Linked DNA regions of Arabidopsis thaliana. The protein of the gene in region 2 purifies or fractionates together with the protein of the main gene of each other region. This does not show direct contact. Each region holds a gene or a part of one and is shown on either strand. Other genes may lie near its edges. The genes, in order: ACO3, AT1G07750 and ACO1.

Region 1 (11,574 bases), on a different chromosome or scaffold from region 2:
ATTTACGCTATGATATATTTACATAACATAGCATAGCAAAAAAAAGCTATTGTATGTGACCGACCTAAGATAGTTCCAGCAAACACAGCGTTTATGAATTCGCTATATAAACAATATTATAGTGTTTTCCGTGTGCTAAGAGTGCCCATATTTCTTGTAGTGAAACAGATGAGAGAAGGTGAATGCAAAGCTTGAAAAAACAAAAATGCAAATTTATTTCAAGAGTTCTGATCTGATTTGATTCATTAATAACCATATCATCCATGACATTGTGAACAATTGTTTGTTTCAACATGTTCATATCGTCCATGTACTAGTCTACTAGATTCGAACAAATGGATGACTTAAAGAACCACCAGCTTAAAAACACACAAATAAAAGTAAGTTTGGATAACTGTATATGCTTTGTGAAAACCATATATATCGTCGGCCAATTGAAAATCATCAAGACTTGTTGCAGGCTTGGGAAACCATCACAACCAGCAACACCATAATAGATTTAAGGTTCTCTAAACACTTTCAGTTCATCTACTTAGTTTCGGCCATAAATACTTGTCCATTAACACTTGTCCATAAACACTTATCCACTTAGATGGTCAAAGGATATTGCTTAGATCAAGTTCACTAAACATACTTAATAACACTGAATAGTCAACATACTTGCCATCATCCATATATACAATCTTTGATGGACATCTTACTTGTCATGTTCTTCTCTTTTATTTGAATCAGATCAGATCAGAACGCTTGAATTAATACATCTGCATTTTTGTTTTTTCAAGCTTTGCATTCACTTTCTTTCACATGTTTGGATGATCAGTAGTTATAAATATCGGTATAGTATATTTGTGCAAGTACCTTTTAAAATCCATTTAATAGTAAACAAATGTTCGATCGGAAATGGATAAACTGTCATATAATTATTTACTTAAAATATAGTAACAATGGATCTTAAAATGTAGGAAAAATGAATTCTTGATTTATTATATAAGAAAACAGACAAAACACTTTATATTAAGTAACTAAAATAATAATAAGAGAGAGAATGAGAGAGAGAAAAAAAAAAAGAGGACCGTTATTTTTGAAAGATAAAAGTGTATGGTATGTAGTTGGGGGCGTTTCGGTAATAACACAGGAAAAAAATTGTTTTGGAAGATGAAAGTGTGGGAGTGTAAAATGAAAGATGAAAAAGTATGTGAGAGTGTAAAATGTAAATAACTCAAAAACAAACTAGAGTTCTATGTCCATTGTTTCTCTCCCATTATCTTCATCATTCCCACAGCATGTCCAAAGCTTTATGGTGCGGTCATGCGAAACACTTGCGAGACGAGCTATCTACAGCGATATCAAGAGATGCGACTTTTGACTCATGTCCTACTAAGCTTTTAACAAGCGAGAAATCTCTACCTGACCATATATTAACGTTCATGTCGTGTGAGGCAGTAGCCAGGAAATAGCGTTCTTGTGGTTCGTACTTTACTTGAGAAACGAGGTTCACATGAGCTGGTATAATATACAACAACTTTCTCATCCGTAGATCCCAAATACGGCATTGATTATCTTCACCACCAGATGCCAAATGATAACCATTAGGAGAGAAATCCACCGAGAGAACCTGTTTGATATGTCCTTGGAAGATAAGAATATTCCTAGCCGTACGAAGATCCCAAACTCTTGCAAGCGAATCAAAACCCGAAGAAGCTACTAATGATCCATCTTGTTGAAATGCAATTCCGTAGACACTACGACTATGACCTTCTTGTGTTAAAGCATCTCAACTCCTATGTTTATATCCCACAATCTCCATGTTTTATCAAAACTCGTTGTCCGGAGGCATCTCAACACTACGACTATGACGGGTGGAATGCAATGCGTGCAAGACGATCTGAATGACCTTTAAAAGTTTGTAGAAGTGTTCCATCCGTTTTCCATATCTTTTCAGTTCGATCAGTAGAAGCAGTTGCTAGACATTCATCATCCACAGACGAGAACACTACATCAGTTACATGTTCTTTATGACCTTTCAAGACAACAATCTTGTTTGTAACTTGAGGCACCTCCCACAATTTAGGAACCCCACTAAGAGAACATGTGACGAGTATTTTTCCATCTCGTGATAAGGAGCAACCAGTAAGAGGACGATCATCCCCAAATTTACTAGAACCAAGAACCATGTCTTTACAATGCTTTAAAGCCAATTTAGTCTCAGCATTTTTATCTTCATCTGGATCATTCCTTCGCCGATTTTCACGCTGAATCCTTAGAGCAGCTCTCTTTATAAAATCTTTGGTAATTTCTATTCTAGCCTCTCTAAGCTCTGTTGGACCCATTGGTATAAACAAACTTTTGAAACAAGATCTAGAAGAAGCTCGTGACAAGACTAGTTCACTTAGAAGACAAGAAGGTTTGGCTTACCAAAGCTCTTATTTATAGCAAAGTAAACGAGATGGATCAGAAAGAAAGAAAGGAAATCTATTAAAAAAGTGGGTTATTGGGGTTAGCTTTGAATTGTGATTTGTCTCTTAAGTCTAAATTCGATAGGAAGCAGTATTTTTATCCAGATCTTCTTCAAGGTTATCAGATTTGGATATTCCTCTTGAGTTTGGTGGTGGACATAGGAGATTTTGGTATTACTAGGGTTCATATGGAAGAAGATGCTGGCAAGTTACTTCATTCAGACACAGGAGATTACTCTCAGGTTCATATGGAATTTATGACAAGTTTCAGTTTGGTTTTATCAGATTCTTGTATTGGTTTTAGGCTTCAGCTGCAAGATGTTTGTGTTTCTTATGTATTAGTTGGTTACTCTAATGGTGCAAGTAGATTTGAATAGAGCAGGTGTTCTTGAACATGATCTGAGAATTGGTATAGATGCTGCTGAATACGCTTGTGAAATGCAACAGATTGCGAGGTCTTTGGGAGTCAGTAATGGGAATATGCAAGAAGGCTCTCTTATTCCTTTTCAAAAACAATAATATTCAACTCTTGCAAGTTGCGAAACATGGGAGCCTAAGCGTGTAAGAATAACCCACTGAAACTCATATATTGCATGAGATCACTCACCTTTTAACCTAATCCTAGACAGACTTATCTGCCTTTTAAAAAAGACATTTTAAAACAGAAACAAACACTCTTTTATTTTGCTCCATAACTTGTGTATTGCTTCCTTCACTATTGCTTGCTCAAGTTTCTGATAACATATGGAAGTATGCCTCCATGGTTAAAGTATGCCAATTCCACCTGCACATTTATTTTACCATTATTAGTTCCTTCACATTGAAAAGCTTTTTTTCACTAAAGATTGGAGTATTTAGTTACCTCTGTGTCGAAGCGGACTGTGCAAGTGAAAGATTTTCCGTTGTCGGTAGTGACGGTAACATCTTGGCCAGGTCTTATCTCTGAGATATCGGTTGGGAGATGGATCGTGTAGCGTTCGTGACCAGTCAATCCAAGAGTATCTGCGTCTTCACCGGACTTAAAGCACAATGGGATGATTCCCATTCCCACCAAGTTGCTTCGGTGAATCCTCTCAAAACTCTTTGCAATCACCGCTTTAACACCCTGACAATCCCAAACTTGTTGTTTCAGAATAAAACAGTAAGATTGGTTTATGCGGAAAGAAACTAGAGAAGCGGTTCTAAACCTGTAGCATGGGTCCCTTGGCAGCCCAATCACGTGAGCTACCACTTCCATACTCAGCTCCAGCCAGAATAATTGTGTCTTCACCAGATGACTTGTACCTCTGATACATTTGACATTATGATAAGGAGACATTCGACATGATCAACATACAGTCAGTAATACAAATTTTAATTAGATAAATACAAACCATGGCAGCGTCAAAGACTGAGAGCTTCTCTCCAGATGGAATGTGAACAGTCTTAGGGCCAACTTCACCATTCATGAGCTTGTTAACGATACGGATATTAGCAAAAGTACCTCTGGCCATTATTTCATCATTCCCACGGCGACTTCCATATGAGTTGAAGTCCTTACGGTCAACGCCACGCTCCATGAGAAACTTTGCAGCAGGACTGTCCTTTTGGATGTTTCCAGCTGGTGAGATGTGATCAGTGGTGATACTGTCCCCAAAATTGAGTAAACAGTAAGCATCCTTCACATTGTGTGGACCAGGAGGATCCATGGTCATGTCCTTGAAGTATGGAGGCTCGTGAATGTAAGTTGAGTTGGGATCCCATGAGTAGAGGGTATTCTCAGGAACAGACAGCTTATTCCACATGGGGTTACCCTTGGTGATTGACTCGTACGTTGCTCGGAACATGTCAGGCAAAACACTGGATTGAACAACCTGATCCATATGTCAAAAGATTAGTTTAATATTTGTGTATAAAAAAGATGTTATTGTTCTCTGGTTAAGTCGTATATACCTCAGCAATTTCTTCCGTGGTTGGCCAGATATCTCTTAAGAAGACGTCCTTGCCATTCTTTCCTTTGCCAATAGGCTCCGTTTCAAAGTCAATGTTAACCTGGAAAATAAGAAAGAAGAACGCCAAAATTACCAATGTGATAATCAGTCATGTGTCATTATCTCATACAAAATGTAAGTTGAACTTTGACAAGTTCTCAAGATTTATTACCGTGCCAGCAAGAGCATAGGCAACCACCAACGGAGGAGATGCAAGGTAATTGGCTCTTGTTAGTGGATGAACACGCCCCTCAAAGTTCCTGTTACCGGATAGCACAGCAGCCGCCACAATGTCTAAAACCAAGCAACACAAATATTGAAAACAAATCAGCTACTTACTTATATATAATAGTAATATAAAGGATGGAAAGTCCAAAGTAAGTTTAGTTGGGAATCTCAATAATACCATTTTCGGTAATAGCAGCTCCCACTGATTCATTAATTTCCCCAGAATTCCCGATGCATGTAGTGCACCCGTAGCCGACAATATTGAAACCCTGTTCATTCAGATATTCTTGCAATCCACTGCATGGAGTAAGATGTTACACTTAAATTTACCATCACATAAGAAAGAATTAGCCTTTAACAACGAAGAACTAGATAAAAATACGACATACCTCTTTAATAAGTATTTTGTAACAACTCCTGAGCCTGGAGCAAGACTTGTCTTTATCCAAGGCTTAACCTACAGAGGCAAGTTTTTGAAAAAGGGATCAGAAAATGTCGAGGCATCAGATAGATTTCTAGTTTGCTCTCGTGAAACCAACCTGTAGCCCAAGGTCACAAGCCTTCTTTGCAACAAGACCAGCACCAAGCATGACGCTGGGATTTGATGTATTAGTACAGCTTGTGATTGCAGCAATCACCACACTTCCATGTTTAAGCTCTGCTGGTTGTCCATCGAACGAAAAATTTACCACTTTTTCTTGTGCCTCTTTAGGTATAGCAAAACCCTGCGGAGAATGAATAGCAATATTCAGAAATAAACATTGATTTCCAAAATGTGCACCAACAACCCAGTCTATAGAACGAGTAAATGGTTAAGAGATTAGACATCCACAAAGTGAAACATCCAGTTACATACCTTGAACCCAACTTTACTGTCAAGACATGAATGCCAGTCAGCTTTCATTTCCTTCAAAGTAACACGATCATGTGGCCTGCAAAGAAGATATCAATAATATGGTCATGACCAATTATTCAGACAATAAACTTCGCGATTACAAAAACCAACAGAACCCATACCGCTTTGGTCCAGAAATGCAAGGTTCAACATCATCCAGATTCAGTTCTAGATATGACGAGTAAACCCGGTCTTGCTGAGGCTGAAATTTATTCACAAGCAAAGTCAAATAAAAACCTGAAAGGAGATTAAGAAACAAAAAAAGAAAGAAAGTATAAGGCTAATTTACCTCATTGTAGTCAACAAACATATTGTTAGCCCGAAGATATGCTTCAATCATAGCCACCTGCCATGAAAGTATTGTATCAGACCAGATATCTGAATATATATAGAAGGAAGATTAAAGTCAAACACTCACTGTCTCATCGCTTCTTCCAGTCAATTTGAGATATTGTAGAGTAACATGATCCACAGGGAAGAAGCCCATGGTTGCACCATACTCGGGAGACATATTGGCAATTGTCGCCCTGTCAGCTAGGGACAGCCCACTCATGCCATTACCTAAGAAGAAAAAAGTAGACTTATAATGCTCCAACAAACACATGTCTATTATAAAAGAGCAAAACACTTAAGAGCTCACAAGGATATAATTACCATAAAACTCAACAAACTTTCCAACAACGCCATGCTTCCTCAGCATTTGAGTCACTGTTAGAACCAAATCAGTAGCTGTTACACCATTACGCATTTTTCCGGCAAGTTTGAATCCAACAACACCAGGCAATACCATACTCATGGGCTGTCAAACCAAAAAAGCGTTATCAGTATAAGAAAAATTCACAAACCTCACTGTATTGGAGCAGAAGAGTCATAAAATATAGTGATCTAATCTAAAATTCAGTAAAGTTGACTCCAGATTAACCAACATCTGATGTGCGTCATGTAAATAATCAAAATAATTTACCTGGCCAAGCATTGTTGCCTCAGCTTCAATACCCCCAACACCCCATCCAGCAACTCCCAAACCATCAATCATAGTTGTATGTGAATCAGTTCCAACCACGCTGTCTGGGTAGAGAAGGCCTTTGGTATTGAACACAACTCTTCCAAGATATTCCAAATTGACCTGAATTTTCAAGATGAGGTTAGTTTGAGACAAACTTCAAGACAGATAAAAGAAGATAATAAATGAAAAGAAACATTTCAATACACTGGAAACATGAGGTTGAAAAGGATATATATCAATGTCAGAACAAGTTTAGAAACAACTTATGGACTCGCACACTTTAAAAAAGAGAATTACCTGATGCACAATACCAGAGCCAGGAGGCACAACAAGCATGTTCTGGAACGCAGTAGAACCCCATTTAAGGAAAGCAAACCTCTCCTTGTTCCTCTGGAACTCAAGCTCCATGTTTGCTTGCACTGCATTCTCTGATCGAGCTACATCTACTTGAACCGAGTGATCAATCACAAGATCCACCGGAACCTGAGAGACACAGTATAACATAAGAAATCTAAAAGAACCCTAACCTAAACAAAAAGCATCAATCTGTGGCAAACAAAAACATACCAAGGGATTGATTTTGTTGGAATCACTTCCCAGCTTATTCATCGCATCACGCATACAAGCAAGGTCAACAACAGCTGGGACTCCCGTAAAGTCCTGAAGAAGAACACGAGCTGGTTTAAAAGGAATCTCTACTTGTTTAGGAGATGTCTTTTCCCAGTCAATAATCTTCTCAACATCTTCCTTAGTAACTTGAAAGTTATCACAATTACGAATCGCAGATTCAAGCAGAATCCTAATAGAGTAAGGAAGTTTATCTGCAAATACAACACTCCTCTTCAGATTCTCAGGTCCTTCATAAACTCATTCAAAGAGAGATTCAAAAAATCCATACCAACTCGTGGATCGTTAAGAGCAGGTAAGCTATAGAACTTTCCGAATTCACCACCACCAGGCTTAGGAAGTGTAGTGAAGATCCCTTTAAACGGATGCTCTGACGCTGAAACAATCATAATCACAAAACAGTTACTACTAATCAACAGAGATCGGAATAAAAAACTCAAGCTAGATCAATCAGATCGAGATATTTTACCCATGGAAGAGAAGGTTCTCTGGAGACGATCTAAGACTGGAGAAACAGCTCTGATCTGAGAGGTGAAGCGAAACGGAGATGGTTTCGAGTGAAAGGAATGGCTCCAGCGACGGAAAGCAGGGGAAATGGTACCAAAAGATCTACGAGCGAGAAGAGACGACGGAGAAGTAGATGAAACGGAGGGAGATAAAACCGATCGGAAAGAGAAAAGAGAAGAAGAGCGAGAAGAAGCAGCTCGGATGATGGAGGAAGAAGCGGAAGATGAAGCGGTTAAATACATGATGATGAAATCACGCTTCCAGATGCAGATTCAGATACTGACAGAGAAGATGAAGAAGATAAGGTTATTGATTGATCAATTGGGATCGATCATGGAGGATTTTGAATCTGACGTCGGAGTGATGAATGATTGAAGAAGCGAGAGAGAGAGAGAGGCGTGTGGAGACGAAACGAAAATGCCTAGGGCTGCGTGCCAATAAGTCAATCTTCCCTCTCTCGCAAGGGAATATTTTTTTTTGTTTACGGTATTTTTTGGATTTTAATCTACGCAGCCCCTCTCCTCCACATAATTTCTATTTAGCCCCTATTATTAAAATAATATATATTTTTATTTATTTTAATTTAAATAATTACTTAAAAATCAAATAAATCTCATAACATTTTTACCTGTTTGAAAAAGACAACGTAATATATAGTTTCTTAATATATAATCATATATATATGAAAATTGGTCAACACTCTCCATATGAATGACACACCATCACACAAAAGCATCACACAAAAGTTTGACATATATCATTCTATATTTTTAAATTTAAAAAATAATAAAATTAAAGGTAATATTAGTAGATAACCAAATAAAACATACAAATTAAGAAACTAGCAGAGATAAAGTTTTTTGTTACAAAATAACCATGGACCCACGTTGTCGGAAGAAAGGAAATAATAAAGCTATCCTTTATTTGTTGTAAGATGAAAAGTAAACGAAACACATCCGTGTAATTTTTCAAAATATCATGTAACATTAAAATTTCACATGTTATATTTAGTTTAAAAACATGCTATTTCATAATACGTTATGAATTTTTTTTTTTAAAACATTATTATGAAATTCTTTTACATGAACAGAATCTTAAAACAAAAATTATATGTGATTTTAATAAAAACCATGTATTACTAAAAAATAAGAATATTTTTAAAGAAATCACGTGTGATCTCAATAAAAAACGTGTATTACTACAAAATATCATGATAAAAAGATATATTAAACTGAATACAATGTTTTTTCCAAAAAATAGCATGTGCTTTTTATAAATACTATGTAATAAGAGAAAATAACAAGTGTTCTCCAACATGTTTCCGACAAGATACTGTGACTCAAGGTTAGTTTGTACATTCTTTTCAAATCTATAGTCATTTATTATAAATACTCTAAAATTAAATGTATGATTAATCCTATTCTTAATTGATTCAAAATAAAATAAAAAAAAATTATGTTAATAAATTAAGCACTACTTTCATTATACTCTTTATTTTATTAAATTTTTATTATCAATAATCACTACTAGATAATGACTTTTTTTTGTGTTGTAGTTGTTTGCTACCAAACCTCTTATTAGTTTAGTATATATTATTCTCATGAACATATTTTCGTCATTAGTTTTCTAACGTTGTCCTTCGCGATTCATCATTAGTTAGACCGATACAGATTTCTTATGTTAATCTTATTTAGAGATCTAAAATCTACATATACATTTTTCAGCTACTTTAACAAATAAATCTTGTACTTGAACTTATTTACAATGTCATGCTATTGACATTAATTATTAATAAATGAAATATTTAATTAAAGATGTAAATCAAAATTAGTTTGGTAAAAATTGCTAAAACACTGGACACATCTTTACTAATATTACGGCAATGATCATTTAGAAATCTAATCATATATATGAAAGTTGGCCAACTCTTTCCATATGAATGACACATCATCACACAAAAAAATGACATGTGTCATTCTATATTTTTTAAATTAAAATATTAATCATATTAAATAAGCAAATTAAATGTATCATCAATCCTACTCTTAATTGATTTTTTCAAGATAAAAATAAAATAAAAAATTATGTTAATAAATTAAGCACTACTTTTATTATACTCTTTTTATTTTACTAATTTTTTTGTGTTGTACTTGTTCGTTACCTAACCTCTTATTAGTTTAGTAATTTTATTTTGAGTCTTTGATAACATTGACACTCAAGTTTTTTCAAATAATAAACCTTTAAAACGTTAGACTTACCAAATAATTTAATACACGATCATTTCTCTTATATTGATATATGCAATGAGAGAAGATCTAAAAGTATTGACTTAAATACTGCTTTAATTTATGCTTTTTTTTTTAATTCTTTTCATATGAATACTTTTGAAATCTTGTTCAGTTTATATCAATTCTATATATTTAATCATGAGTCGATAACACTAATTAACTAGATTTTAACCCGCGGTATACCGCGGAGACAATTTATTTCCTTAAAGTTAGTATATATAAAAGTTTACAAATTTTATCTATCTATAAAATATTTTTATTTTATAGTTTACAATTGTTATTAAGTAGCTTCCTGCCAAACCCGTCCCGCCAACCCGTCTCGTAAAAAAAACTATTTATTTTATTAATGTTGATCTTATTTATGATATGTTTATGAATCATTGTCTAAATATTTTATAATTTTGTAGTAATTAATTGCTATCAAATATCTTTACGGTTTGCTGCTTATAATCGAATTGTTATAGTCATAAAAAAAAAGCAATATCAAAAATGATAATTTTGTAGTATTTAAATGATATTAAATATTTTGGAAATTTTATTTTAGTAATTAATCGTATAGTTAATGCAGAGAGATTTTGGAAAGGTAGTTAAATGCAAATATTTAATTCGAAGATTTACTTTCTAATTATCAAAAACAATTATTAAATGCCGGTGGCAGCCACTGTAAATAAGTCTCAACTTGAAGATTTATTTCACAAAGTGGCTGCAAAAATGTATATGTAGATTTCAAATAAACCATCACATTATCAAATAATCGTGCAAGGTTTGATATTATGGTCATATTTTGTATTATTTATTTGGTTTATTTTGTATTATTCTCACATAAAGAAAAAAAAGTTAAAGTGGTCATCGTGTTATAAAAAAAAAAAAAAAGTTAAAGTGGTCATGTTTCATTTTCTTGAATATTATCTACTGGATTTTGTGATATCGAGTAAAAAGTTACCATTTTACTGTAATTTCGATTTTAATGTTTCTATGTTGGCAATGTCAATTAGTTTTGAAAAAATATTCAATATGTTAACCCAAAAATCTTAATGATATCAATTTAGAGTTATATGATGGGACGGGTTTGGATTGATATTATTACAAATTTATAGTATCATCAACCCAAAGTAATAACACGGTTTAAATGTAATTTTAATATTTTATCAGCCTCAGTTTCTTTTTTTCCAGCACTAATAAAAAATTATTAACTTTAATACTAAATAAAAAATTATGAAATCTAATATTATTATATTTACTAATAAAAAAAAATTGCACATCATATAGTTTTGTACATTGAGAAAAATACAAAACAATAGGTTATATAATAATATTAATTAATTAAGAAAATTACAGTTTGATTTTTTCTAGAAAAATATAGTACCGCGGGTTAAAATCTAGTGCTAATTAAGACTACATACAAAGATAAGAGTTATAGAACTACAAATAAAGTGGCATCTAAGTAGAAAACAAAGTAGAATAAATAAAAATTACAAAAGACATAAATTCTTAAACAAAAATATTGAAATGGGCATCAAACACGGAGAGCCTGAACAAACTCCTGATAGATGTCGACAACAAATCTCATCCTAAGATTCTCCACGACTTCCTCAGT
Region 2 (8,413 bases):
ATGCCCTTTTTTTTCATCAGTAGTAGATTTAAATTAAAAGCGTTGGGTTGTCACCGTAATAATGTCGTTGGGCTCTCAAGAACAAGATCCTTGTATGAAATGTATTCTACTGATCATATATTATTTCATTTGATCGAGAGTTTTACCACAGGTTTCTACAAATTAATGCTTTTTTAATCTCGAAAAGGCTTTACACCAAAACAAAAAGAACATAATGAATGGGCCAAGATGAATTTATGTAACTTGTCTGCCTGGTTCACTGCAGTATGTCCTCATGTTCTTTGTCCATTGAGTTTTGGATCTGCCTCATAGTACACGACATCTCCTGTATCGCTTACGAAATGGTCTTGTTTCGCATTGCTTAAATGGTGATAATAGGTTTACTCGAGGCTTTTAGATTTTATAGAGAAGGAACAAACGTATTCTATTGGATAGAAATCTTCACGAGGATCATTGACGTGTATATTTCTCATTCGTTAAATTTATCAATGCTCAAATTAGATCTGACGGCTGAGAGAAACATCATTCATTTTTACAGGTTCAAGTTATAGCTTTGATAGGCTTCAATGGTCGTGACAAAGAAGCCCATTGGGCCTGAAATGAAGCTTGAGACGCAGCGCATAACACATGTCAATTGGTTTCTTTGATTTTCCCTAGTATAAAAAGCGATAAGAAAACCCTAGCTCACCTTCTCTTCTTCCTCTAATTGCTTTTCTCCGTCACTGAGTACCTTGCCTCTCGAGCTCCCAATCTTAAGGTACAATTGATCTTCACTATAGTCGTTCAGAATCTGATCTGCTTATAGAAATATTCAGAAGTGTGAGATAGCTGCTAATTGGTCTTTACTTTGTTTTTTTCTCTTGCTTCACATCAGAAAATTTAGGATCTTAGAGCTTTTCATAGTGAACTTAAGAACGCTTTTCGAATTAGTCAGTCTTAGCTCTATTTTGTCTGTGTGTGTATTTTCTGGACACAAGACCTTTGTTTCAATTTCTATAAGTGATTTCGGTTTACATTTTAAAAGCTTGATTTATTCCCATTGAAATAAATATTCATGATGAGTAAATCTGTGCATTTGTATCAAATTTTTAGTGCTTTGCAGATTTTATTTTAACGCAAGCTCTTGTTTGTTGTTTGACTTGTTTAGTAGAGGATTGAGCTTAAGGCAAGATGGTAAGAATCAGTGTTCTTAACGATGCTCTCAAGAGCATGTACAATGCTGAGAAACGAGGCAAGAGGCAGGTCATGATCAGGCCTTCCTCCAAAGTGATTATCAAGTTTCTGATTGTCATGCAGAAGCACGGTATGATTATCCCACCAGATTTTATATAATAGAGATTCCTAAGATTCTCGGATGTTGTTCCTTAAATTATGTGGTTACCAATCAAATGCAGGTTACATTGGTGAGTTTGAGTATGTCGATGACCACAGATCTGGCAAGATCGTCGTTGAATTGAACGGAAGGTTGAACAAGTGTGGTGTTATCAGCCCACGTTTTGATGTTGGTGTCAAGGAAATTGAAGGTTGGACTGCCCGTTTGCTCCCTTCTAGACAGGTTCGCTCTTCTTATAAACTTTCTAGTTACAGTGGCCTTATGAATTATAAGATCAAGATTTGGAAATGTTTTTGAATCACTTTGCATACTGTCCCGAAACATCAATAGTAGTAGCTTTGTTTAATGCTCGCTAATGGTATTAATGGATTGAAGCTATTAAATTGTGCAGTTTGGTTACATCGTGCTGACTACATCTGCTGGCATTATGGACCATGAAGAAGCTAGAAGGAAGAATGTTGGAGGCAAGGTTCTCGGCTTCTTCTATTGAAGTTTTATTTTATGGGGAAACAGATTTTCATTGAGTTATTTTTAACTTTTGTCCTCCATTTTCTCTGAAACTACCTTTCTCTTTCTTTCGAATTTTGTGATAACTTTGATGGATAGTGTTCTGAAATCACTCTTTTTGGTTTGGAGCCCTTTTTTAGACTTCGGATGCACTCGTAAAATTATTCTAAAAATCTCTGATTTGGCTAGTCTCTTACCTTCTCTTTACCGGCTATAATCTCTAAGTTGCGGATAATGCTCTAATTAGTCATACGAGTTCATGTATCAAACGACGTCGTAATAACTCGGAACAAAATCATTGTTGATCTACATCATATCATCTACATTGAGGCTTAAAACATCATATCAATACCTTAGGATCATTTAGAATTCTTAGAACTGATTAACTGTAGATGAAATCACAGCAACGGATTAATACAATATGCGGTTATAAGTAAAAAGAAATAAGAAGCAAAAAATACTGACAAATCATAGTTGTTATATCATCAAGAAACGTGGAAAACAAAAGAAGAAGAAAAAAACTCTTCAAGAACCAAATGCCAAAGGAACATAGTTGCCCAATTTCTAACTCTAGTTTTCACCCATAAAATGGATCACACCTTATTAGAAAATGGTCTTACGGATCACACTTCCTTCTCCAGCCAAATATGGCCCCCGTCTCATCTCATCTCCGGCGATGGGAGCTCGAAAGTACCTTCATGTATTTAGATATGTAAGAGATAAGAGAGGAGAGAGGAAGGTTTGATGAGGAGCATCCATTGTTGATGGTCTTTTCGACCTTATCAAAGGAGAAGCCAAGTGAGAGAGACGTTTCATTTTGGGTTTATAGACCAAAAAAGTGGTCATTTGTGAGAGTATCTTCGAAAGCATATGCTTTGAACCATTAACTAAGCTGACCTGAGTCCCATTATTACTACTTTTGATTTTCTTCTTCTTTTTTCTCTTTTGTTAGTATATTAAAATCTATTTAAATTATTGAGGCGAGTAACATGGGTTGCTTCGCCACAAATCAAAAGTAGAAAAAAAGTGAGGTCCTCTTTTCTTCGCCTAGTTGTTTCTCATTGGACTGCTTCCAACTCTTGTTGGTTCTGTCAATTTTACGAGGTTACCAAATTTGGTTCAGTTTTGTGAATCACTTGGGAATTAGGTTACGTTGGTATTCTTCTGCGTTTATAAAACGTGCCTATGATCTAAGTAACTACCCAAGTCATTGTCTCCAGCTAGTGGAAAGCGACACGTTACTGATGTTAGAGTTGATATGATTTGCATATTTTCTTGTTTTAAAGCACATTTTGTGTTTGTGTTTACAATTTTACATGAAACGAAATTAACATTCCACCAACCATCAATTATACAAGTGCTATTAAATACAAGATTTAGGTCAGCTGTCTAATGCAATGGAACTTAGCAGCAATTTTGAAAAAAAAAATATGGTACTAATAGCATATTGTTGTGATAAATATTACTATCTGATCATCACAGTCATTCAAGTGGCTGTAGTTTAGTGGTAAGAATTCCACGTTGTGGCCGTGGAGACCTGGGCTCGAATCCCAGCAGCCACACTTGTTTTGGTTATTTTTTCATTTTTATTTTACATGGGCATGTGATTAGCTTTCTGCTAAAGCCCCTTAAGATAAATGACACTGATGGGCCTAAGTATTTTCTCTCGGGGGGATATAACTAAGCGTTATGATATATATTTTTTTGTTTTTGTCATCTAAGCGTTATGAATATGCAAGTTAGATATAATAATAATTAGGCCAAAATTAATTACATATTTATCCATGTTAAACTAATCCTTAATAACAGCAATTCTTTCAACTTATCCATCACGTTGCTCGTTGGATTAAATTAAAATTATAACAGTCTGTTGCTACTTATATTTCTGGATAAATCCTTTACAAAATTAGAGAATATACAATCCTGTCAGCAGATCCCATCCTTAAAAAATTAGCAAAAGAAATATAAAATCAGCGATTACCTTAGATAAAAAAAACATACGATTTTTGAATTCATCCTTTAATTTTATCTTTAAGGTAACAAAAAAAGGAAAACATAATCTTAAAATCACCAAATTGGAAAGAAATATGGTGACATAATTGAGAAAATATTTACAACAAATATTCTGATGATTCGATTTGACCAAATAATACAGCACTTTTAGTAGATTTATTTAAATGTCTCAATTAGTATTTGTTTATGAAAAAAAAACGAAGAACGTGATGGATTAACAAAAATTATCTCCTCACAAAGGAATCTTTATTTGGTAGGCAAAATATAAATTATATCGTGGGCATAAAGAAATGGATAAAATTTGGATTAAAAACGTTAAACAAGAATTATCCACAAGTAAATCGTAACGCAATCAAAACGCCGAATCAGTCTCTCTATTAGTAACGGATTCACCCTAAGCCTCTCCTATATAAATACGTGTCGCATCTCTTTCACATTTCACATCAAAACTTACTACTTCTTCTTCTTCTTCCTTTACCAAATCTTTTCTTCTTTACTCTTTTTCATCGTCGAGAAAAAATGGAGTTGGATCTTACACCTAAGTTGCCCAAGAAGGTTTACGGAGGAGATGGTGGATCTTACTCTGCCTGGTGCCCAGAGGAGTTGCCGATGCTCAAACAGGGTAACATTGGAGCCGCTAAGCTTGCTCTTGAGAAGAATGGCTTCGCTGTCCCTCGTTACTCTGATTCCTCTAAGGTCGCTTATGTTCTTCAAGGTTCGTTTTTTTCTATAAAAGTTTTCTACTTTATTGCGATCCATGCGTTTTTGTATAATGGGTTTGTTCGATTTCATCACTCTGCTTCTTCTTTTGAGGGTTTTTGATCTTTTCTATGTTCTGATCTTCTTTATTGCTTTAAAAGTTGTCAACTTTATGGTAATTCATGCACTTTGACCACTGTGATTAGGTTTATTGTGATGCTGATTCTATGATCTGATTTTTGTTGTAGAAAGTGAAAAATATGATAGTCAAATAGATCACGACTACTGTGTGCAAGAAAAAAAAGTAGTCTTTAGCTGTTTTTGTTTTGCTTAATCACGTCTTAATCGTTGATCTGATCAACCTCGCGTGTAAGGAATTGAAAGCTTGTTTATTTGACTCTTTTTCAAATTTCTGTTTCAGGATCTGGAACTGCTGGAATTGTTCTCCCAGAGAAGGAGGAGAAGGTGATCGCAATCAAGCAAGGTGATTCGATTGCTCTTCCCTTTGGTGTGGTCACATGGTGGTTCAACAACGAGGATCCTGAGCTTGTTATCCTCTTCCTTGGTGAAACCCACAAGGGTCACAAAGCAGGGCAGTTCACTGAGTTCTATCTTACTGGCACAAACGGTATCTTCACTGGTTTCTCCACTGAGTTTGTTGGCAGAGCCTGGGACCTTGATGAGAACACCGTGAAGAAACTTGTTGGTTCTCAAACCGGTAATGGCATTGTGAAGCTTGATGCGGGCTTTAAGATGCCACAGCCCAAGGAGGAGAACCGTGCTGGGTTTGTCTTGAACTGTTTGGAGGCTCCTCTTGATGTAGACATCAAGGATGGAGGCAGGGTCGTTGTCTTGAACACCAAGAACCTTCCTTTGGTTGGAGAGGTTGGCTTTGGAGCTGATCTTGTTCGGATCGATGCACACTCCATGTGTTCGCCTGGTTTCTCTTGTGACTCTGCTCTTCAGGTGACTTACATTGTGGGTGGAAGTGGAAGAGTCCAGGTGGTTGGTGGTGATGGGAAAAGAGTTCTTGAGACCCATATCAAAGCTGGTTCTCTCTTCATTGTTCCAAGGTTCTTTGTGGTTTCTAAGATTGCTGATGCTGATGGCATGTCTTGGTTCTCCATTGTCACCACTCCTGAGTAAGAACTTTTCTCTGCACTTTCCTTTTTGAGGTTTGAAATTGAAAGAAACTAATATGTTTGAAACTTTTTTCTTGTGTGTTTGTAGTCCGATCTTCACACATTTGGCCGGGAATACATCGGTGTGGAAGTCTTTGTCCCCTGAGGTTTTGCAGGCAGCGTTTAAGGTGGCTCCGGAGGTGGAGAAGTCCTTCCGATCCACGAGGACTTCATCAGCCATTTTCTTCCCTCCTTCCAACTGAAGAAGGAGAAGAATGAGAACAAGAACCAGCTTTTATCTTTTATCGTTTGTTGCTTTCCCTCAGAGATTTTTGAGGGTTTTTACTTTTCTTGTGATTCAAGGAAGTTTCTTAGTCTAGTTGTTTAATTCTCTTCCTGCCTTTTCCCCCTGGACCGGTTCTTGTTCTCGTTGTTTTAAAATATTAAAAAATCAACCTTTCCTATATTTTACAGTCTTCCTTCTTTTCAACTTTTGGAAAAATTGAATCAAAAGAAATTTGTCTTCCTTCAAATTCTCACTTTCATATTAAACTTCAGAATTTTGATGGTTCAAAAAGAAATTCCAATTACTGTAAACAAAAATTCCAATCAAACGAACACTATATTGAAAAGTAAGTTCATGTAACGATGACTGATAAAACATTACAACATGTGATTTTGATGACATGAAAAGTAAGAATGGTTTGATAACTACTATTAAAACCTTTGACAAACAGGAACAGGTACACCACACGCTTCTAAAACTTGTTTAGCAGATGTCATATATGGAGCAATCAATGGGTTTTTCAAGTACTCACAAAAACACGACTTTTTATCTTTCAATTTTGTGCAACATTTTGTCGATGGTGGGGTTTCGCCTATTATATCTGGTAGGCATGCTTTGAGATCTGTCACGACGCATGCCGCTTTCTCCTCTGCTTTGGTCGGAGCCATTGACGAGAGAACAAACGCAACGAAAACTAATGTAGTGAACTTCATCTTCATGTCTTGTAAGTTGTAACCTTAAGTTTCTCCTTCTATCTAATTTCTAGTCTTGCTTAGAAAATGCTTGAAATAATCGATTACGAGATTTGTTTAAGAATGGAGTAATGTTTTGCAGTATAGGCTGATGTGTGTGTTTTAGGTATATATATAGTGTCGACTGTCTTTAATTGTTGATTACTGGAATTAAGCTAACAAATTTGAAAGCACTGCCTTTTATAGAAACTGGAAAGATTTAATTATAGGAAATGAATCAATCAGTTCACATGTGTATATACAGTTTGGAAATGTTCGAAAATACATATAGAAGTTTGATATTAACAAATGATTTCAATCAATGAAAATCTTCAAAGATTTAATATAAATAAAATTTCTTTGGAAAGTAATTAAATAGGAAAAAAAAAATAAGAGATCTGGAAATTTATAAATTTATTTGGTTTAGGTTAACTGAGTATCGGTTTAAAATTGAGGTGACCAAGGATGTTAAAATGGGCTAAAAGTTTAGGGCCGGTCCGGATCCGTTGAAAAATATAAGCTCTGGGCCTGATAAAATTGAATGAGAGATTTTCGGGCTAAAACAAGGCTGGCCCTATTTGCGGTTTTCAGATTGGGGTAAACCGGGATTAAGAGTCTGGGTCGTGAAAACGAACCGGAGGCTAATTGGATTTGTTCTTCCTTCTCCACATTCCAATTTGAGGGCAGTGGAGGTGTAACAACAATGGCGCCTCTCAAACATCTGGAGAAGGAAAATCCAATCATCGACGCATGTTTCCAAGATTTCTGCGCCTCTCATGGAATTTTAACAAGTTGTGTTCTACATCTTCTCTTCTTGTATCTCGTTTTCTCGTATCGATTCTATTTGATTTCTCCTGTTTGCCTGCAAAAAAACGACTGTGGTTGGCATATGAACATGAGAAACACAATTGCTTAGTCCAATTACTGTAAGTTCACTTTAAAAAGTTTTGAATTCTGGAATCTGGATAGTGCGCTGTTTGATATTTGATCGTTTAAGCTAAAGGTGTTCGACGAATTAGATTTTTGTAGTTATAGAGTCGGATTCGGTTTGGAATGTTTGTGTTGATGGCTTTTCTCAAAATTGCAGTTGAGGATTTCCTTCTGCATGATCTCTACGAACTTACTGCATTTTCTCAACGGCAGACAAATGCAGATAGATTGAAAGAGGTTTTTAGCTTTTTACTTAACGTTACTGTCGATTTTTGAGGTTTAATTGTGTGTGTGCGCTCAAAGGTATGTGACATATGTTTTCCTTCGGATGCTTCAGGGTATCACTCTCATCCTCTCTTTGATAGAACGTCAGTGTCGGCCATTGGTGAATGGTTTAAAACTGTTGGAGGATCTACACCGTAATAAACATACTCTGTCGACTGGAGACAAAGAGACGGACTCATTGCTTCAAGGTGGATTCCGTGAGGGTCAGCTTACAGAACTTGTCGGACCTTCCTCTTCTGGGAAAACACAAGTATGTATTTTCTGTTAGGCATTTCACTATTCATGTTTTTGTCTTGTCTTCTGTGTGAAAATTATTCATAGATAATCGTTTTAAATCTTTAGGAATTGTAGATTGTTTCATTCAAACAAAGAGACTGTTCCTAGAAAAAAAGTGTTGTCTTTGCTTACCCTTTTTTTGTGCTCTCTCTTTACATTGTGTGATTTCTTATGAATGACTAGTTTTGCATGCAAGCTGCTGCAAGTGTAGCAGAGAATCATCTTGGCAGAG
Region 3 (11,762 bases), on a different chromosome or scaffold from region 2:
TAAACCTTTTGGTTCTGCATTTGGGGAATTAAGATTTCGTTTGAGCTGAAATGAGCAAAAAACCTGAAGACAAACAGAACATGAGTCTTTGTTGCCAGAAGCATCTAAGTTGTTTTTGCCAGTGATTTTGATTTTAGGTATTTTATCAACCAAATCTCCTGTTAACCCCTTTGAGCCACCGGTATCGAAAATACTCGAGAGCTCTTCGAAAGTTGAATCCACAGCTCCCATCTGATCAGTGAGAAGAGAGATGAATATGATTAGAGGAGATCTCATTGCTGATAATGGAACCAATAACACATTGCTAATAAAAAACTGTACCTGACTTTGAACCGCACTTAGCATTGCTGGACCTATTCGTTCCCGCACAAGTCTACCACTTATCAGACTAACAATGACATCAATCTACACAAAGATTAACAAGAAACAAGAATCAGTTCGAATCAAATCTGGAAAAAAACAGAGCAGATGAGTAGTTCAAATGAAGATCTCAGCTCACCAAGTAGAGGAGACATCCAAAACGTGACTCATTAGATTTCCAAAGAACAAGAGATGACTCAAAGACTTCGATAGAGAAAACAGCTCCCGAAATGGCTCCAACCGCCGCTCCTCGGATAAACCCACTTTCGGTTTCTTGGCCTATCAAAGCTCCAGTAAGTGCTCCAAGCAATGTGCCCACTGAAGAAGGAAACAACTTTCTTAGCTCTACATAAAAACCCAAAGTTGCAGATTCTACCCTACTCAACAGTAAAGTGATATCAATGATCAAATCAATCCAAAGCAGGACAAAAAGCTTCATAAAAGTTTCCAAGAAGTGGAGAGACATTCTTGAAAAGAATCAAGAAATTGTAATAGGAAACAAGAGACCGACCTAAAGCGAAGAAGAAAGTCAAGACCGCCGAGAGAATTGTCCCTAGAACAGCGGAGAGGGTGAAACGACATGCGTCTTTAATCCTTTCGATGAAATTCTCAAGAGAGGGACACGAAGAGATAGGACAAAACCCAGATTGGAATCTAGAAGAGGCCATTTTTTTTTTTACGGAACCCGCCAAAGATTAAAGAGACTCGAAACGATCTACGGTAAAAACAAAAACAGAGCTCAGTGGAGTTTATACAAGAGAAGAGAGAAGGAAGAGAAAGAAGATAGAAGAAAGAGGAGAGATGGGTTTTGCTTAGCCCTTAAGAGAGAAGATCCGATGTCTGGCCTACTTGCAATTAAGTTTTTTAACCTCAAGTAGGTGAAGTAAAATCTAGGGTTTGCCTGTCATGATCTATGTTGAAAACACCACTAATTTTTTTTTAATCATTTCAATGCTCGAAAGATAGAAGCAGAGAGTTATAAAGAAAAGGTTATTTATAGTTTAATAAAATAACTTCTTCGTTTTTTACATAAATTTTTAAAATGTGTTAGATTTTAATTATAAGAAAACTACGGGAGATATTTAGATTGTCTGAATAATACCAAAATATGGTAGGGTCGATCATTTTCGAATCATACAAGCAATCAGAAGAAACAATTAGATACGAAACAGAAATAATTTCTATACATGTTAACTATTTGAGGAAATCTCAAAATCTTATTTTGATTCTTCCTTTCCTTTTATAGTAAGAACCTTAATATGAGCAATACTTTATTGTTATACCAAACTAAAATGGGTACGGTGAGACTTTGTTATTGTGCTATTACGTGCGAGAAGCTGAATGATTACCCTTACCGTTTCTGTATAATTGTATTCCAAGACTCTGTGTTTTTCGATCTCTACAGTGGTAAGCCGATTAATTAATCATTTCAAGAGATAATTAGTTGCAGCGTATGTCTCATCTAATGAGTATTTGCATGATCGGATCATTTATATAACTTTGAAATTTTCATATTTCTTTATTTAGTCAAAATAATAATAATAATATTGTTGATATGTAAAATTTCAAAAGATGGACAGAAATAATGACATATAGTATTTATGTTTACTGAATATATTTGACAAGGCTCTATGACGATTTTTTTTAACATACTGTATTTCTTAAAAATATCTATCTACCTTAGATAGTTGACATGATAAAAAAAAAATATATATCTACCCCAATATATTTCACCTGTATTTTAATTTATAGACATTATGGGGCAATTAATGGTCCAGAAGCTGGTCCCATGAGTGATTAAATTGAAATCTAAGCATTTGCATGATATATAGTTACGTGTCACTTACATACATGTCTTGTATTGTTTAGTTTCACTGCTGAGAGTGAGTTTCTCTATGTACTGTAATGAACTTGGCCGATCGTGTTTTACTAGTTTTTCTCTTGAAAGAAAAATTCGTATTACTGGTACTTGGACTAAAATTTGGTCTCCACACCACTCTCCTCTAATCATTTTACAAACAATTCTATATTTGAGAGAGGATATTATTGAACATGATACAAATTAAATAATATTTTATGAGTACGTATTTGCATCTTGTGAGAAAGAATTAAGTGTTTTCTAAGGGAAATATTAACAATGGGTAAGTGAAAGTAACAGAATGTTTTACCTATAAGGATGTATAATAATATAAAGAGAGAGGAAAAGAAAAAGCCAAATAGACAAAGAAGATATAATTATGATTGGTAGGTTATCTACATGCTGACCAAAGTCACATTTTTACCGGTGGTGCGTCTTTGTGTTGGCGTGATTGATAATTTAACCCGGCCACCACTTGCATCTGCTCCTTAATTTATTTGTAATTGTATGGAAGCATCATCAAATCAACTCCATAAATATAAGATACTTTATAAGCTTTCGTCCATATTAAAATAAACAATTTTTTTTTTTTATAACTTCTTTCTTATTGATATTAGCTTAAAAGATCGTATAAACAAACTTATATACGATCAAACAAACTAAAAAAGAGAGTTCTTTATCAAAAACAAACAAACTAAAAAGAGACGATAAATGAAAGAGATAACAATAGTATGTAATTGTCCTTACATAAAAAAAAAATATGAGCCACGCCAAATCTAAAACGATTTCGTTAAACATATATAGTTCTCGATATTTATCAACAAAGACGATGTAATTCGTAATCTATATACGTACATCTTCTTAACTTTTTTAAAAATATAAAAAGGTGCTTCAGATTCAAGGGACTGAAACTAGTGAGGTTTCTTAAAAGCAGATATATACACTGACCACGTTCAGGTTAATAGTTAGTAGATTTTTAGGTGGATAGTAATATATTGATGGACAATATTTAAATACAGACTATAAAATTTAAGAGACTTGAAGTGTTCCTAAGAGTAAATTTAATTATACATTTTAATCATGGCCTGAAAAACTAAACAAGGAGGGGTAGAATAATTAATCATCTCAGCAGCTTTCCATCTGGACACACCATTCAGCTAAACGACATTGTTTAATCTCTAACCAAACTGGGCTAGACCGAACTGGGTACAAAGATGGGTTAAACTGGGCTAGGCCCAAATTAATCAGAACATAAATTTCGAACGGAGCGACCCATTTCCAAAATAAAAAAATGTTTTTTATATATATATATATATATATATATTTTTTTTTTTTTTAAATCGTTGCATGCAGGTTGGTGGCGATATTTTTTGGTTTTGTCACCAGGTGGTGGTGAAATAAACGACGATCATTGAATATTTTTGGTGTCTTGTATATGTTTGTGTCATTGTGTGTATTTTTTTTTGGTGTGTTGTAACGACGATCATTGATTGTATATGTTTGTCAGAAATTAAGGTTTTTTTAATCAATCAATGCCATGTGAAATTGAGAAACCTTGAAGAAAATTGGATTACATAAAACTAGATACTATAGAGAAGAGGCACATATCAGATTGGTGGATTATAAGTTTGTGAAAATAAAATCATGATTGAACAGATATAATTCACTTGATACAAAAAAAAGCAAAGAATGGATATTCACAAAAAAAAAAAGTTGGATAATTAAGAAAATAGAATATAAAATAAAAATAAAAATCAAACAGCCATCAGTTCTGACGAAAAGAGCCCACCACGGATCTGTCAGATTTATTTCCTTCTTACATATAAAAAAAATCTGAATCGGCTCAGGCTCGTGTAGCCTCACCAACTCCGCTTATAAACTTTCTCTCTTCTGAAAACAGATCTCTCTACTTTGCTTCTTCACTCGACTTGTATCTATCATCCATGGGTATCGATTTATCTGTTTACGATCCAAAATGATTCATGTTTCTTATTTCTTCTTCTCGCCGATGCTGATTTTCCAGCTATTTTTCGTTTTTTTGAAATCTGGTTCTGTATTTTGATTTGCTGTGTGGATCTCTGTTTCTGATGTGTTTTCAGCTTCCGAGAATCCTTTCCGAAGCATATTGAAGGCGTTAGAGAAGCCTGATGGTGGTGAATTCGGTAACTACTACAGCTTACCTGCTTTGAACGATCCCAGGATCGGTGAGTTTCCTTTTATCTCTGATAGATATTATAATATTTTGTTAGAAGACGTTGTTATGATCTCGTTGGTGAGAGTTTTATGAGAGAAATGTTGTGGTGGATGCAGATAAACTACCTTATTCCATTAGGATACTTCTTGAATCGGCCATACGTAACTGTGATGAGTTCCAAGTTAAGAGCAAAGATGTTGAGAAGATTCTTGATTGGGAGAATACTTCTCCCAAGCAGGTTGAGATTCCGTTCAAGCCTGCTCGGGTTCTTCTTCAGGTAGACAATGATTGGTTGCTATACACATTCTTGATGACATAATGATGTTTCTGATTTCCTGAAAATGCTAGAATGTGATATCATTTTTTCTATTTGTTTTTCAGGACTTTACTGGTGTTCCTGCTGTTGTTGATCTTGCTTGCATGAGAGATGCCATGAATAATCTCGGTGGTGATTCTAATAAAATTAATCCGCTGGTTAGTTTCCTCGCTTTTTACTGAGATTGGTTAATGATTTGTGTTCTTTTGGTATGCTATAAGGTTTGATACAAGGCCTTGATAATTGCAGGTCCCTGTAGATCTTGTCATTGATCACTCCGTTCAGGTGGATGTGGCGAGATCAGAGAACGCAGTGCAGGCAAACATGGAGCTTGAGTTCCAGCGTAACAAGGAAAGATTTGCTTTTCTTAAGTGGGGATCCAACGCCTTTCACAACATGCTTGTCGTACCTCCTGGATCTGGAATAGTTCATCAAGTAAGTAGAGGATTCAGGGACAACGGTATTGCTTGGAAACTTAAAGTATTTTTATGCTAAATTCTATAATTTTGCAATTGACAGGTCAACCTAGAATACCTTGCCAGAGTTGTTTTCAACACAAATGGACTTCTTTACCCAGACAGTGTTGTTGGCACAGACTCTCACACCACTATGATTGATGGACTGGGTGTTGCTGGATGGGGAGTTGGCGGTATAGAAGCGGAAGCTACCATGCTTGGTCAGGTAAATCAGATGCTCTTTCGGTCGAGAACTCATAGCTAACTGTCTAACCTCTTTCTGAAACTTTGGTTCTAAACTACATCCTTTCAATAATTCTAATAGACTTTCCATCTCTTTATATGCAGCCAATGAGCATGGTCCTACCCGGTGTTGTGGGTTTCAAGCTAACGGGAAAGTTAAGAGATGGAATGACAGCTACTGATTTGGTCTTAACAGTGACTCAGATGTTGAGGAAACATGGAGTAGTTGGAAAGTTTGTTGAATTCCACGGTACGTTGATAAAAGATTTGATATCATATTTCATATATGTCTCTTATTTACTTACATAGTACCTTACCGAGTTAGGCTAGCTCACATATGCATCGACTGCTTTTTCATACACAGGGGAAGGGATGAGAGAATTGTCTTTAGCTGACCGTGCTACAATTGCCAATATGTCTCCTGAGTACGGTGCGACCATGGGATTCTTCCCAGTCGATCATGTCACTTTGCAGTATCTAAGGTTGACAGGCAGGAGCGATGACACTGTAAGAAAATGCACAAAATGTCACATTTGGGAAAATCTTCATTATTTAGTGTGTTAAAGACTTTCATAATGGTATTGATTTGTGAATTGGATTGCAGGTCTCCATGATAGAGGCGTATTTACGAGCAAACAAGATGTTTGTGGATTACAGTGAGGTAAACCTTGGGCATCCTTAATACTTCATTTCTTATGCCTATTGTCATATATCATATTTGCATAACATATGCTTCACTTGGAACTTGTTGCACATCTCAGCCGGAGAGTAAGACAGTTTATTCCTCATGTCTGGAATTGAATCTCGAGGATGTGGAACCTTGTGTTTCTGGTCCCAAGAGGTACTATTAGTGAATGATTCGACAGAAAATTATCTAGGATCCATTCTACTTACAATGTCTATTCTCTGTGCACAATACAGGCCTCATGATCGTGTTCCTTTGAAGGAAATGAAAGCGGACTGGCATTCTTGCTTGGACAATAGAGTAGGATTCAAGGTTAGTACTCTCCTTTCTGTTGAGAAGATGTGAATGCTTGCAGTCCCGAGAGCTTAATTTGTAGGAAATTATGACACCTCTAGCTATTGTTACTGTAATTTTGAAAGAATGGTACGTATTCGAGTCTTTAAGCGGGTCCAATAAACTAACTTGTACGTTCTGCAACACTTCTGAATTTATAACCTACTTCCATTTTTTCAAAAATAGTGGTTAGTGATACTACTTATCCATGATTTTCCAGGGTTTCGCTGTACCTAAAGAAGCACAGAGTAAGGCTGTAGAGTTCAATTTTAACGGGACCACAGCACAGCTTAGACATGGAGATGTTGTTATAGCAGCAATCACCAGTTGCACAAATACTTCAAACCCTAGTGTAATGCTTGGCGCTGCCTTAGTTGCAAAAAAGGCCTGCGACCTAGGACTGGAGGTTTGACTACTTGTGTGATAGTGATTTAATATCTTTATGTGCAATGGAAATAATAGAAGTGTTTGAAATTTCTCAATTATTAGGTTAAGCCATGGATCAAAACTAGTCTTGCTCCAGGCTCTGGAGTTGTAACAAAGTACTTGGCAAAGAGGTGCTGCAGATACACCGTTGAATGTTTTGTTATTTATTTCCTTATCCTTTGTATTGTGTGGTCCTGAGTTTTCAAGTCTTGCAGTGGCTTGCAGAAGTACTTGAATCAGCTCGGCTTCAGTATCGTTGGTTATGGGTGCACCACATGCATTGGAAACTCGGGGGATATCCATGAAGCTGTGGCTTCAGCAATAGTTGATAATGGTAATTCCTTAAGTAGTTAATGAAGTAATGCTTCTTCACTTGAATTTTCGAAGGTCAAACTAAAAGATTTCTCATATATGTACAAGACTTGGTGGCATCCGCTGTGTTGTCTGGGAACAGAAATTTTGAGGGACGTGTTCACCCGTTAACAAGAGCTAACTATCTAGCTTCCCCACCGCTTGTTGTAGCCTATGCTCTGGCTGGAACTGTATGTTAATGCTAACTCTAAAGCCATTTCACAACATTCAAGCATTCTTGTTATATGAAGCACAGAATCATTCACATGAATATTCTTGTAGGTTGACATTGATTTTGAGACACAGCCCATTGGAACTGGGAAAGATGGAAAACAGATATTTTTCAGGGACATTTGGCCCTCTAACAAAGAAGTTGCTGAGGTAAATATATATGGGCTACTTGTGTAATACGTAAACAATGAGATATTATAAGTGGAGGGGATGCCAAATTCTCTGTTTCGATTTTTCAGGTTGTTCAATCTAGTGTCCTTCCTGATATGTTCAAAGCTACATATGAAGCAATCACCAAAGGAAATTCCATGTGGAATCAGTTATCTGTGGCGTCAGGTACTCTCTATGAGTGGGACCCGAAATCAACTTACATTCACGAGCCGCCTTATTTCAAGGGCATGACCATGTCTCCACCCGGTCCACATGGTGTGAAAGACGCATACTGTTTACTCAATTTTGGAGACAGTATTACCACTGATCACATCTCACCAGCTGGTAGCATCCACAAGGACAGTCCTGCGGCTAAGTACTTGATGGAACGAGGTGTGGATAGAAGAGACTTCAACTCATACGGGAGTCGCCGTGGTAATGATGAGATTATGGCGAGAGGCACTTTTGCAAATATCCGTATTGTCAACAAACACTTGAAAGGAGAAGTTGGTCCCAAAACAGTTCACATTCCCACTGGAGAGAAGCTTTCTGTTTTCGATGCTGCCATGGTATAATCTCACTTTTTTTTTTATCCTTTTGAAAACATCAAATTCAAGCTCTTTGGTCATGAGGTTGGGGTAGGATTACGATAAGCTTTGAATAAGCACTACAGCTCTACTCTTAGCTATAGGTCTACTGTATCTAGCCTAGGACTGAATGTAGTAGATTAGAGCTGTTGTGAGTTGGTTTATAGAACAGTTAGTGAAGGCTGAGGTAATAATAATGTCTCAGCAGATTGTCTTGGGGGTGGAAATTTTGTTGTTTGATTCTCTGATTTGGTCAGTTGGAATTAGAATAGCAGTTCATAGCTTTGTTTTAATCAGATTATTCTCTCCTCGTGCTGTACCAGAAATATAGGAACGAGGGACGCGACACAATCATTTTGGCTGGTGCTGAATACGGTAGTGGAAGTTCTCGTGATTGGGCTGCCAAGGGTCCAATGCTTCTGGTACATTTTCTGTATTTAACAAACACGTTCTTACACTTATTTTATGCGGTTTCTTTAAAAAATTGTGACAACAGGGTGTGAAAGCTGTGATTTCAAAGAGCTTCGAGCGAATTCACCGAAGCAATTTGGTGGGAATGGGAATCATACCTTTGTGCTTCAAGGCGGGAGAAGATGCTGAGACCCTTGGCCTAACGGGTCAGGAGCTTTACACCATTGAGCTCCCAAACAATGTTAGTGAGATCAAACCAGGACAAGATGTAACAGTCGTCACAAACAATGGCAAATCTTTCACATGTACACTCCGATTTGACACAGAGGTAAGTTATCTCTAGATGATATATTTTCGTCTTTTCGTCTTTGAGTTTTTTTTTTAGCTCTAAAACAAAATGAGATGAGATAAGTAAGAGGAATTTGGAATCGACAGGTGGAGTTGGCTTATTTCGATCACGGAGGGATTTTGCAATACGTTATCAGGAACTTGATCAAACAATAAATCTGGTAACACCAGAGACTTGAGTTATATATCCCAAGGTTTGTTGCAATAAAAATGTTTGCAGGGAGGAGGACGAGAATGACTTTAATTTAAACTTTTGCTTTTGTTCTTCTTCGTCTCTTGCTTCGTGCTAGTCAATTGGAAACATTATCACTGTCGAGTCATTTTTTTTCTTTCAAATAAACATGCGAGCTCTTTTTTTGTTGTTGTTGTTCATAAGCATTGTCAATGCTGCATTGATAGAAGTATACTCTACCATTAGAAAATAAACACAAATACACAAAGTAATCTAAAGAGCTAGAGGATGAAAATTATCTTGTGAAGGTTGTACAAAAACATTAAAAAAAATCTGAGATGATCCAAAGGATTGATTATCACATTCGAAGTGATGGTCAGAGATTACCTCTTGGAATGTTGTGTAGAGTTGATGAACTTATGAGAGCGGAACCATTTGGTTGATGCCCACTTGGTTCCTTTGATTACTGGACTCCCACCTAAATCAAACAGACAAATTTTTGAGAAATTTGTTTTACATCTCATGATCTCAAACAAGTTATAATTAAGGGTTTATTACGATTTAAAACAAGTTTAGAGAAAGGCAATGCCTCTTACCATGCTTACTCGAAGGGTCTCGAGACCCGTCGGGTCTCATGCTCCAAAAGAGTAAAGCGTCTCCCTTCTTCGGTCTAACAGAGACTCCTTTTTTACTTTTAATTCCTTTGGCTTCAGGGAAAACTGTTTCGCCGCCTTTATCAACATCCGAGCTAATTAGTCATACGATGAGAAAAGAAAACAAGATTAACTTATGCAAATATTGTAAAATTTTTACATGGCTGATGAGAAAGATTATAAAGGGTTTACATACAGATACATAAGAACCGTAGCAATTCTTTGAAATCCGTCAAAGTGAGGCTCAAATTTCTGCCCAACTTCATAATTGATAACTTGAAGCGTTTCTCCGTTTTCTGCACATAAATTACATAAAACTTCACAATAATGTAATGATCTTAGACCTTGTTTGGTAAGAAAATCCAAACTATGGCCAGTTTAAAAACAGAAGCCACATACCTTGAGGAATGAAGGTGAATTCTGAAATCCTTTTCTCAATCTCTTTGACGATTTTGTCATGTCCACTTCTAATAAAAGTTCCTGAACTCGTCCGTGAGCTGCACATTAACATATTTCCAAATCTCAAATCTTTCCAAACTAAACTTAATTAAAGAGGGAAAATCAAATGAAAATAGAGTACATAACCTGCTTTCTTCACCAAGTCCAGTTAACGCATTGCGCACCTTGGACCTCGCCATACTAGGTTTCGCGAGGCTAATCAAGTGATCACATTCTTCGTTTGTCTTACAAATTTTAAAGAAGAGAGCCTAAGATCAAATCCTAAACATTTGCATATAAATCATGAGAGAAACATGTGTTCCCTAGCTATATATGCGTGTTTACTGGAGGAGTGAAAGAGAATTACCAAGAAATTATGGTAAACAAAAGCTCTAGGCTCCTTCGTTATGACTTCGAGCCAACGCTCGTTTGGAAAGCGTAACGAAGCAGCAACCTTCACCATGCTACAAGTAAGTGTTGTTAACAAAGGGGACAAAGAACACAACAAGATCATGTCCTTAGTTTTTTCCTCAATTTTCACATCCACGGACACTTGTTCACCGACTAATTCATCGAACGTGTTGATGTGCTGTATTAGATCTGAAGTTTCATATATCTTCAGCCCCTGCAACCTCTGCCTCAGATACAGTATGGTAGACACTGACGTCGACTTAGACATTGCGTTCACAAGTGAGTCAGAAAATATACATGAACTCGTAACAAAACTTAGAGAGAACACGAATCTAGGGTTTTCCTTTTATGAATTGTGTGAGTTCATAAAATACAAACTCTAATATATATTTTTTTGCCGTCTGATCCTCCTTTTATACAAGTCCAAAGAACAAAAATAAATAAATCAATACAACTAGAATATGAAAATCATTGGAAAAAAAACTAATAATGAATGTCAGCAAGTAATAGAGTGACACCTGTCGGCAAGTTATTTTAATTTTCATTTTTGTTATCATTATGGTTTTGGTCAATTTTATAAATGATGACTCTTCACCTCATGTATGCAGGTGTATATCTTGTGTTTATCAGTGGATTAAATACATTTGCAGCTAGGTAAAATATCTCAACAGTAGATTGTTGGAAAGAGTTCAACTCATAAGTGTGGTGTGGAATAAAACAATTATCGTACTTGAAATAGTCTAACTACTCAACTGTATATTTATTTGTTTGTTGAATATACCGCAAGATAATAAAATTTTAACAGTGTTTTTTTTTTTCCTTCATACTAAACACGACAAAAGGAAAAAAGTTCGTGTACATAATTATATATTATGTGTATCAATAAGATTTTAACTTAAATGCCATAACGTGATTTTGTTGGTGTAGCGTTTGAGAGCTCCTGAGAGACGTATCAGGATGAAATTGACAATGATACACACATATTAGTACATGTTGGTGAGATCATAGAGACCTGCCAAAGACGACAGAAACATTGAAACAATCTTGAGACAATACAAAGCTTTCATCACTAAAGTGAGGTTTAAGAGCTTTACATCTTCAAAAGCTATCTATCTTCTTTTTTATTCAAGTCAATTGTAC

The links.
Region 1: the proteins of AT1G07750 (region 2) and ACO3 fractionate together in Arabidopsis thaliana (co-fractionation; one large-scale study listed by BioGRID). This does not show direct contact.
Region 3: the proteins of AT1G07750 (region 2) and ACO1 fractionate together in Arabidopsis thaliana (co-fractionation; one large-scale study listed by BioGRID). This does not show direct contact.

What each region holds. Positions count from the first base shown.
Region 1 is NC_003071.7:2,137,948-2,149,521, reverse strand, and holds ACO3 (aconitase 3), read right to left. Parts: upstream 8,194-11,574; 5' UTR 7,932-8,193; coding exon 7,652-7,931; intron 7,559-7,651; coding exon 7,454-7,558; intron 7,377-7,453; coding exon 7,123-7,376; intron 7,039-7,122; coding exon 6,853-7,038; intron 6,676-6,852; coding exon 6,514-6,675; intron 6,349-6,513; coding exon 6,204-6,348; intron 6,111-6,203; coding exon 5,968-6,110; intron 5,896-5,967; coding exon 5,839-5,895; intron 5,752-5,838; coding exon 5,672-5,751; intron 5,587-5,671; coding exon 5,511-5,586; intron 5,380-5,510; coding exon 5,194-5,379; intron 5,112-5,193; coding exon 5,044-5,111; intron 4,952-5,043; coding exon 4,833-4,951; intron 4,721-4,832; coding exon 4,599-4,720; intron 4,488-4,598; coding exon 4,389-4,487; intron 4,310-4,388; coding exon 3,830-4,309; intron 3,743-3,829; coding exon 3,644-3,742; intron 3,562-3,643; coding exon 3,319-3,561; intron 3,241-3,318; coding exon 3,172-3,240; 3' UTR 2,844-3,171; and 1 more. Other genes in the region: AT2G05720 (Transducin/WD40 repeat-like superfamily protein), read right to left, coding at 1,307-1,701, 1,895-2,330. UniProt on the Arabidopsis thaliana protein: Catalyzes the isomerization of citrate to isocitrate via cis-aconitate. Contributes to oxidative stress tolerance. Modulates cytosolic citrate metabolism during lipid mobilization. Required during seedling growth.
Region 2 is NC_003070.9:2,401,823-2,410,235, reverse strand, and holds AT1G07750 (RmlC-like cupins superfamily protein), read left to right. Parts: upstream 1-4,186; 5' UTR 4,187-4,372; coding exon 4,373-4,568; intron 4,569-4,973; coding exon 4,974-5,694; intron 5,695-5,782; coding exon 5,783-5,936; 3' UTR 5,937-6,244; downstream 6,245-8,413. Other genes in the region: RPS15A (ribosomal protein S15A), read left to right, coding at 1,171-1,303, 1,395-1,555, 1,725-1,823; AT1G07747 (Bifunctional inhibitor/lipid-transfer protein/seed storage 2S albumin superfamily protein), read right to left, coding at 6,391-6,678; RAD51D (DNA repair RAD51-like protein), read left to right, coding at 7,394-7,481, 7,778-7,857, 7,958-8,155, 8,365-8,413.
Region 3 is NC_003075.7:16,970,349-16,982,110, reverse strand, and holds ACO1 (aconitase 1), read left to right. Parts: upstream 1-3,949; 5' UTR 3,950-4,161; coding exon 4,162-4,165; exon of another isoform or gene 4,166-4,317; coding exon 4,318-4,422; intron 4,423-4,528; coding exon 4,529-4,689; intron 4,690-4,793; coding exon 4,794-4,886; intron 4,887-4,977; coding exon 4,978-5,163; intron 5,164-5,247; coding exon 5,248-5,409; intron 5,410-5,531; coding exon 5,532-5,676; intron 5,677-5,790; coding exon 5,791-5,933; intron 5,934-6,030; coding exon 6,031-6,087; intron 6,088-6,187; coding exon 6,188-6,267; intron 6,268-6,347; coding exon 6,348-6,423; intron 6,424-6,664; coding exon 6,665-6,850; intron 6,851-6,933; coding exon 6,934-7,001; intron 7,002-7,085; coding exon 7,086-7,204; intron 7,205-7,290; coding exon 7,291-7,412; intron 7,413-7,503; coding exon 7,504-7,602; intron 7,603-7,691; coding exon 7,692-8,171; intron 8,172-8,512; coding exon 8,513-8,611; intron 8,612-8,685; coding exon 8,686-8,928; intron 8,929-9,035; and 3 more. Other genes in the region: AT4G35840 (RING/U-box superfamily protein), read right to left, coding at 1-231, 322-405, 500-678, 872-1,028; AT4G35820 (2-oxoglutarate (2OG) and Fe(II)-dependent oxygenase superfamily protein), read right to left, coding at 9,682-9,868, 9,970-10,069, 10,173-10,270, 10,359-10,480, 10,579-10,890; AT4G35810 (2-oxoglutarate (2OG) and Fe(II)-dependent oxygenase superfamily protein), read right to left, coding at 11,753-11,762. UniProt on the Arabidopsis thaliana protein: Catalyzes the isomerization of citrate to isocitrate via cis-aconitate. Contributes to oxidative stress tolerance. May have a role in respiration.